Linked DNA regions of Xenopus tropicalis. The main gene of each other region encodes a partner of the protein of the gene in region 2 in a complex. Links are inferred from orthologs where the notes say so. Each region holds a gene or a part of one and is shown on either strand. Other genes may lie near its edges.

What was found.
Region 1: the proteins of kcnma1 (region 2) and kcnmb4 are in contact, whole or in part, in a cryo-EM structure (PDB 6V22), measured with the Homo sapiens proteins. The link is inferred for Xenopus tropicalis from reciprocal best matches to the Homo sapiens genes KCNMA1 and KCNMB4. Residues at the interface, in NP_001154824.1 of Homo sapiens: Phe98, Phe99, Leu102, Phe103, Leu106, Leu107, Arg109, Thr110, Tyr113, Leu114, Thr116, Val117, Asp238, Leu240, Trp241, Leu244, Pro327, Trp328, Asn330, Gln332, Leu367; in NP_055320.4 of Homo sapiens: Thr11, Glu12, Ala13, Glu14, Lys16, Ser17, Leu20, Leu24, Ile34, Phe35, Cys38, Trp39, His105, Thr164, His165, Val183, Leu186, Ile187, Leu190, Thr191, Ala194, Leu197, Ala198, Lys200, Ala201, Met204.

What each region holds. Positions count from the first base shown.
Region 1 is NC_030679.2:59,410,720-59,414,538, reverse strand, and holds part of kcnmb4 (calcium-activated potassium channel subunit beta-4), read right to left. Parts: intron 822-3,819; coding exon 694-821; intron 1-693. UniProt on the Homo sapiens protein: Regulatory subunit of the calcium activated potassium KCNMA1 (maxiK) channel. Modulates the calcium sensitivity and gating kinetics of KCNMA1, thereby contributing to KCNMA1 channel diversity.
Region 2 is NC_030683.2:53,920,598-53,925,128, forward strand, and holds the start of kcnma1 (calcium-activated potassium channel subunit alpha-1), read left to right. Parts: upstream 1-1,630; 5' UTR 1,631-2,693; coding exon 2,694-2,972; intron 2,973-4,531. UniProt on the Homo sapiens protein: Potassium channel activated by both membrane depolarization or increase in cytosolic Ca(2+) that mediates export of K(+). It is also activated by the concentration of cytosolic Mg(2+).

The DNA.
Region 1 (3,819 bases), on a different chromosome or scaffold from region 2:
TTTACACAGCATGATAAATATACAAGTTAAACTGTGGTGGCCAGGGGGCCAGAAGAGCAGCGAAAGCCCTGTTGTTCAAAATCATGAAATTAGCAGTGTAAAACTGCTACTAAGAAAAAGAAGTTTTCAACAAAGTAAATTTAAAAACTTTGTTTTCAGAGGAACACTGAGCAATTTTACATTCAAATATTTTTTTTTAACTGAACTGTTCCTTTAAGATTATCAGGGAAAGAATCAAAACTGCCCCATTTGAAAATAAGAATAATCCTTTCTTATTAATCACTGAGGGTGCAAAAATTAAGTGACTATATTCACTTACCTGATACCCCGGGACAATGTTGCAGAACACTGCCTGGGGTTCAGGTGCAGTGACAAGCAGAACTTTAAAACCCTGCCCTTTCACTCTACTGCGCATATGTCTACTCTGGGATGTTGACGAAAGAAGAAGGTGGTTGCTATTAAAACCCCTGGTTAGCACAGTTTTCTGCTACCAGGAGCACTGGCCAGGGGATCAGGCAAGAGATTACAATCGTTGGGGGGCACCTAACTTTTTGCACCCACAGACAATTGTGACTTTCCTTACCCTTTAAATATATGTAATACCAACTGGAAATCTGTTCATACTAAATTTTTCAGACAACTTTCCATTGTCAACTTCCCACTGCCATTGTAGGTATAAAATGTTTCTTTTACCTTCTGTGCTTATTAAAATAGCAAGTAAAGGTTTGAAATCCAATTTCGTTATTCCAGTATTCTTGCCAGCTGAGAACGTTTTCAGAGTTCTTCTGGTTTTCTCTTTCGCAGGGCGGAATATAGGAACACTGTTGAGATGGATTTCAGAAAACATTTAATTAGTTCTATGCGCTACAATAGGTACATCAAGTTTCCCTTCCTTTAAAGAAATCATATTAATCACAACCTAGTACTGAATTCTTATAAACCACAAAGAGTTGGGACAATCTACACCGACATATCTGCTGCGCAGGTATTTTGTTTTTCAGACTGATTTAACAGATAGTATGCCAATTTAATCTGGTGCGGAAAGCCTAGTGACAATCCTTTCCCACAGAAGTAAATTTTTTCAAAAATCAATATGTTTGTGACAGCAGCAAGAGTAAGAGAGGGAGGAGAGGGATTGAGGATATGGAGGAAAAGCAAGTATACAGGGGAGAGAGCAGGCTGGAAGGATACAAGACCACAGCACAAGCAGGAAGGTGGGGCCCCTAACAAAGGCATAACACAGGGCCCTCCTACTAAGGTTCAACAGCATGCAACAGCTTAAGCATAGTGTGGGAAGGAGAGTTTACCTCTATATATTTTCCTGGTTTTCAAAATAGTAACTTGTGTATTATATTAGATAATAATATCTTTTACTAAGGCTAGATGACTATATATGGCCTTTTCTGCACCTCCTGATGAATAATATTAGAGGATATTTCTCCTCTATATGAAGAAAGCAAAGTGTGCCTTTATTACTGTCTCTTCAGTAACACTGTTACTATCTCTAGTATAATGACTATATGTGTGAATACAAAGGAATTTTGCCAAGGTTTACTATTATTTTACACTTAATCTAAGTGGTGCATTGCCAGAAGCTGCATTATTGGTGCTTTTGCACTACACAAAAAGCAAGAAAGGGGTCCTTGCTTCTAAACAAAATGTTTTCATATTAATCAGACCTAAGATCAAAATAACACCCCAGTGGGTAGGACCAGTCAGGGGAACATATATCAATAATACCAAAGGAAAAACAAAACAAAGTTTCTCAAACCTAATTAGAAAAATAGGCTTTTGGCAGAGAGCCTAGAATACTCAACACCTGCACTTAGATACAATAGTAACTAATAAGATAAACCGGTCTCTTGCAGCTTAATGGGCAATTTCACCAGCATTAGCAAAACTGTAATAATACATAAAACAAGACCCCCAAAATCCCCAGAAATGTGTTTAAACTTTACGAAACCTGCCAAATTGTGTAAAATGGGAGTGGTATTTAGGGGTGTGGTCAAAAAAATGGGCATGGTCAATTTCCGCGGGACTATGCACAGCATTTTCTTTTGTCCCACTTTGCATTTTTCAAATGTTGGGAGGTATGCTGTTGTGTAAAAGATTAGTGTTAACACATACACTGGTTAACACATACATTGGTAAATGGACCCCGATCTGTGTTTAATCTCAGTAGTACAAAATGTATTATAGCTCACAACACTATTTTGTACTGTTTACATTTTCTGTGAAATTATTTTACCTACTAACTATCCCCAAAAAAATGGATCAAATGTTGCAAAGCAGTTCAAAATATAAGCAAATGTGCAAAATGTGCAAAGGAGACATATAGTGAAAAGTGTACCCCCATACAAAGGCACTAGGCCAAATGCTTTTATACAGGTCATGGAACTCTGAGGTGACATAATATTCTTATATTTTTTCATAAGGGGTACATTATAATAGACACATTTTAGTGAGTCATATGACTCACTAAGCACCTATTATAACTGACAGCATCACTATGCACCATTTGTAAGGATATCATTTACAAGACTCTTGGCTCGTGTGTGTTATATATTAGGCACTTATATAAAGGCATCAAAATATCGAAACGTTGGCACCTAACACTGAAATTATCGCACATATTACTATAGGCAAAGTCAAAAAGAGTTATAATCTCCACTGACCAATGCAAATGAGTGTGTCCTTTAGATGTACTGAATAATGAGAAAGAAACTGGATCATATTTTCCATATATCACCAACACAATACCTCTGGACTATAAAAGCCCTTCCGAGCCTGTGCCTTGTATGCACACTTATTCATGGTACCTCTATAGATCAAAAGAAATATGAACAAAAGGCACATTCTGTATCATAAAATATCTAAAATATCCTCTGCTTTTGATACTCTTCTGCTTTTGATACTGTCGACCATTCTATCCTTATGCAAATTCTCTATTCTCTGGGGATCTGGGATCAGGCAGCATCCTGGTTCTCTTCCTATCTCTCTAACCGCTCCTTCTCTGTCGCTCTTACTAACAAATCCTCTACCCCGGTTCCGCTTAGTGTGGGGGTGCCTCAGGGCTCTGTGCTTGGTCCTTTGCTGTTCTCCCTGTATACTCTCTCTCTAGGAGACCTTATTTCTTCTTTTGGTCTTAAATATCAATTAAATGCAGATGACATCCAGATATATTTAGACACCCCTGCACTAACCGCTGATGTTCAAACCCAGATTGGTAACTGCCTCCTGGCTATCTCCTCCTGGATGAACCGACGCCAGCTCAAACTTAACCTAGCTAAAACAGAGCTCATGGTCTTCCCGCCCAAACCTGGCCCTCCTCCTTCTTTCACCATTACTATTGATGGCATGACCATCAACCCTGTAAATTCTGCACGCTGCCTTGGGGTTATCTTTGACCAGTCACTCTTCTTCTCTAACCATATTAATAACACTGCCAAAACCTGCCGCTTTTTCCTCCGCAATATTGCCAAGATACGCCCCTTTCTTTCACAAGCAACAGCTAAAACACTAATCTATGCCCTTATCCTTTCCCGCTTAGATTACTGCAATCTCCTACTAACCGGCCTCCCAGACTCGCACCTCTCTCCCCTGCAATCAATCTTAAACTCTGCTGCCAGGACCCTCCTGCTGTCTCCTAAGAGGGATCCTGTTCAGCCTCAATTAAGCTCACTAGCATGGCTGCCTGTCAAGCAAAGGATAGCTTACAAAATCCTTCTGCTGACATTCAAAGCCCTTCACTCCTCTGCTCCTAACTACATTTCTTCACTGGTCTCCCTACATGTTCCTGGTCGTCTCCTCCGCTCCTCT
Region 2 (4,531 bases):
TTAAGTATGAAAAACACATGTGCAATATAAATATAAAATAATAAAAAAACATTTTTTCTGTGCAAACATGTGAACACTCATTTTCTTTTTCTGTCAGTTCTAAATTCAGTCCCATGACTGAATAACAACAATGTATCTCAGGAGAGGACCCATGGGATACTAAAAAATAAAGTAACAATTATCAGATTAAAATGTTACATAGTGAACCTTAGTTAAAAACATTGCTATTTCCTTATAGGATAAGCACAGCTCAAAAATACAGGACCTCTTACCCTAACACGTCGAAAAGGAATATTTATCCCTGATGTCCCCCCAGGAAAAAAATTATCTGTAAAAGACACAAATGAAAAAACAAATTACATCTATCTAAAGCAAAAACTGCAAAAAGTGTTAACTATAAAAAACAAGACATGTTAAATTCATCGTTTAACCCTTTTGGATGGCGAGATTGTAAAAGCCAGATCCAATAACATTCTCTCTGAGATAATAGTTTCTTCTTTTCTTGACCTTGTTTTACATTGATTTTTTCCAAAATCTGCCTCTAGCAGAGTGCACCGGGCGTTCAATTTTGGAGAGCTAGGGTGTGCGGAAACGGTCTCTGTTGTGCCTTCCTGTTCTGAGCTACACATGCCCACCAGCCAATCAGAAGCGGATCTGGCAGGGGGGGGGGAGGGAATGAAACACATGTGCAGTATGAAGCAAGGAGGGAAAGGAAGGGAGAATACCTTTTTAGAGATGGCTGCCTGTTCTAGAAAATGTGAAGTGTGACTGAGTAAATATTTGATTAGGTCAGCCAAAAGTGTGGCGTTTTTACTAAACAGTAGGAGGACTATTGGGCAGTATGCTTTTTAAATTTTGACTTGCATTCTCCTTAAAAACCTAGAGAGGAAAGGAAGTTTTAAAAGCATAGTGCAGAGAAAAAAGAAATAAGCAGAATGAGTAAACGAATGAGTAAAAGTAAAACACACTAAAAAGTATAGGAGGAGAGAGTTAATATAAGTGGGTGTCAGTGTTCCCTCTAATCTGTGCACACAAATTTTGAGACCAGGGCGCACAATAAAACACAGAATTTGGTAGTGCTCACCACTCAAGGATGAGAATTTTTCATTTCAGTGCCATACCTTACTGACAGTGGAGCAAAACCCAGGCACCAGCAGCATGTTTTTCACACTTTCAGTCCCTTAGTTAGGGTGCACTTGCATCCAGGGCATTAAATGGGTGGAATTAAAATACAGTTCAGCGTTTGCAAAAATGAATTTTATGTCTTATGGTCCTAATTAGTTTTTGGGGTGTAAATCACATATGTCTAAGCTTCTATCCTCCAGGTGTTGGGGAACGAGATTATCCTGGGAACTGTTCAACAGCAGATGGAGAGCCAGAAAAAGACTGGGCATCTCTAGCAGCAAAAGCCCAGCAATGCTGCCCCCTTTCCTTTGCTGTTGGTTACAGGGAGTGCTTAAAAGCAGCAGTTCTGAGGATAAATCGCATACAAGCGGTTGTTGGCATACAAGTAGCCTAGAATAAATATGAAAGCCTCTGCATATGTCATTGCGTCATATAATGCTTAGGAAAACCTGGAAGACGAACACAGGCAGAACATCCTTGCAGCCTCTACATATGCACCTTTCCTTCTCTTCCTTCCCACCCTCGCCTCAGCTGTCAATGAAACGCACTGCCAATCCAACAGCCTTGGGCAGAATAACAGACGGGCTGGAGGCTTTCCATTAAAGTACTTCCTAGCAATATGTGTGCAATGACTCCTCCTTGTTACCTGTAATGTTCCCCTTGCGCCTCCTTCACCCCCACCTCGGTTTCCCGTAGTGTCCTGCCTATTGATGCCTAGCACAGCGATGTGACAGTGGCAACAGCTCTGGTGGAGGAGGAGGAGGAGGAGAGAAGGGAACGATCAGCTGGGAGGATTATAGCCCTGAACAGACGAAGGAGAACGAGTGAAAGGAGGGGAGGGGAGACTAACCAGCAGGCTGGCAGGCAGCGTGGAAAGGAGACAAACATAGCACAGGGTCTTGCTGGACGAATAAAGCTGTGGCATTGTGCAGGAGGAAGGAAATCTATGGACAAGCGATTGCTCTCCCTGAACACGATCTGATAGGAAGAGCTGCAAGGACAGCGAATAGGCACAGCACAGATAGAGGGGAAGGAACAGCTCCATAATCTGAACGGGGATCGACTAGTCACACGTCTGCATTCAGCAAACAGGTGCCGGGAAGCCCTTAGCTTAATTGACCGCAGCCACTAACATTATTACTCACAGGAGGGCACATTGTAGGCAAAGCCAAAGCTGCCAGGCAGTAAAAGGGATTTCGTCTATTTTTCTTCACACTGCCTATACAATTAGGTCAAACAAACGAGCTTCCAGGGACGAGCAGAAGGGAGAAATGAAGGACTATCTAGCTGGGTTTCGCGTTTGCAATTAAGGGAACGTATGGCAGTGCTGTGACAGTATTGGATATGGATTGCCCGGCTTGGTGGCTCTGGGAATGAAGATACAGCCCAGTTCCAGCGAAGAAAAGCAAGGACATTATTGTTTATGAGGGAGGGGGCAGCGAAAAAGGGACCCCCAGAATCTGTTTGACCTGCTTCCTTCCCCCTCTCCTTTGCAGTATGGCTGGTGTAAGAATTTGGGGCTTGAGAAATCAGCGGCTTTCAGGGTACCCTGAGTCTTCCTGTTAGCAATGGCAACCTGGAACGCGTCTCAAAGCATCTTTAATAGCATGAGCAACATCATTGAGAACCCACACTCCAAATCTCACCCCGTGATGGCGTCCAATGGGGAGTCCTTATTTATTCCAGTCACTATGGAGGTGCCTTGTGACAACCAGGGGACACGTATGTGGTGGGCATTCCTGGCCTCTTCTATGGTGACGTTTTTCGGAGGTCTTTTCATTATCCTAGTGTGGAGGACCTTCAAATACCTGTGGACTGTATGTTGTCACTGTGGGGGCAAAAACAAGGTAACGTTCTGCATCTCAACTTGTGTCATTCGTGTGTGTCTGTTATTGAAGGGGCTTCTGTTCAATTTGCCTGGCCATTTGGCCTGTGTTTGTAGTCGTGATGGTAGGGAGGAGGAGGAGAGATGTAGGAATCATTTCTAACAGAGGACAGCACTCAGCAAGCATAATTTGTCAGAGCACAAACATATCAACATATATGTATATCCTTATTGATTAAGCCATACTGTGTATGCAGGACTGGTGATGTTTTCTATCACCATTTTTTTCTGCTGCACTGTCCATGAAAGAACTGTAAATACTGAAGTTTAGCTAGAGGCTGTTATTTTAATAAATGGTGGTATTTTATTAAATGCACATAGTGGCCTTGAGTTGACAGTCCATTGACCCAAGGATTTACCAGGATTTTTAACACCACAGGCAATATTTGAATATTGTGGCCCACTACATATTGTGCAATTGTCCAATGAAAGATATATATATATACTTAAAATTTAATTACCTAAAATATATTATATTTCTATATACTCGCATACACCTAAAATGTGCATTGTATACAAAAATATACACCTCTGTAGTGATTTTATTTGTATTTGCACTACACCTAATTGTGATTTTTAAAGTAGTGTTGTTGACAAAACATCACATCAACAGTATTTACAGAATACAAAAATTTGACCAAACGCTTTATATAAATTAAAAATCACAACTGCCAATTTCCCTGAAATAAATCTCCATGATACCATGTAATGTCATTTTTTTTACCCTTTACTAGACAGTTCCATTACCTGTGAGCTTTAAAGTGCTGGTAATCTGAGATAACCATTTTGAAGTACAGGATTTACTTTATATGTCACTGGAGGTCTTTTAACAGGATATCACCAACAGTTTTAGGTGTATGTTTGAATCCACTACTTATCTAGCCTGTATAAAATTAATTAGGGGACCTCCGTCAGTTCATTTTGCACATAGAATTATAGGCCCTTAATATGTGATACTATGTGGAGCTGCCATTTCTAGGTCCTTGCTGGAATAGTAAGTTATGTGTACTGCAGGCTGATGGCTAATATGTTTAGCAAAAGGACTGCCTGGTACATTTAAATGTAATGCACTGTTAGGCTGTGGCTCCTATTCGCTTCTTCATCTGCTGATGCGCCATGTCAACGTGTGCGTAGTGCATCGGCAGATGCAATGTGGAGAGATCACCTTGGCTGTCAAAACCTATCCTGGCCAGGCATACATGCCCAAATGGTTGGGTAGTATAATCAGCCAAACTCTGTTACCAAATATAGATATGCTTGGTCATATACTGACAATAGTCAGTATGACCCAGCCTCCAAAGTGAAAAACAGATTTTGAATATAATGATTTAACACTTAAATGGAGATAAAAAGAGGTCAGAGGTTTGTTATACACAATAGAATGTGTAAACATGTAAGCATTTTTTTTTACAAACATGATCTTATAAGTTAAGCATTTATTAATGAATTATAGTATATAGACCAATTCTTTCTCAACCAGTAAAATTAGCTACAGGAAGGAACTGATGTTTCTGGGGAAAT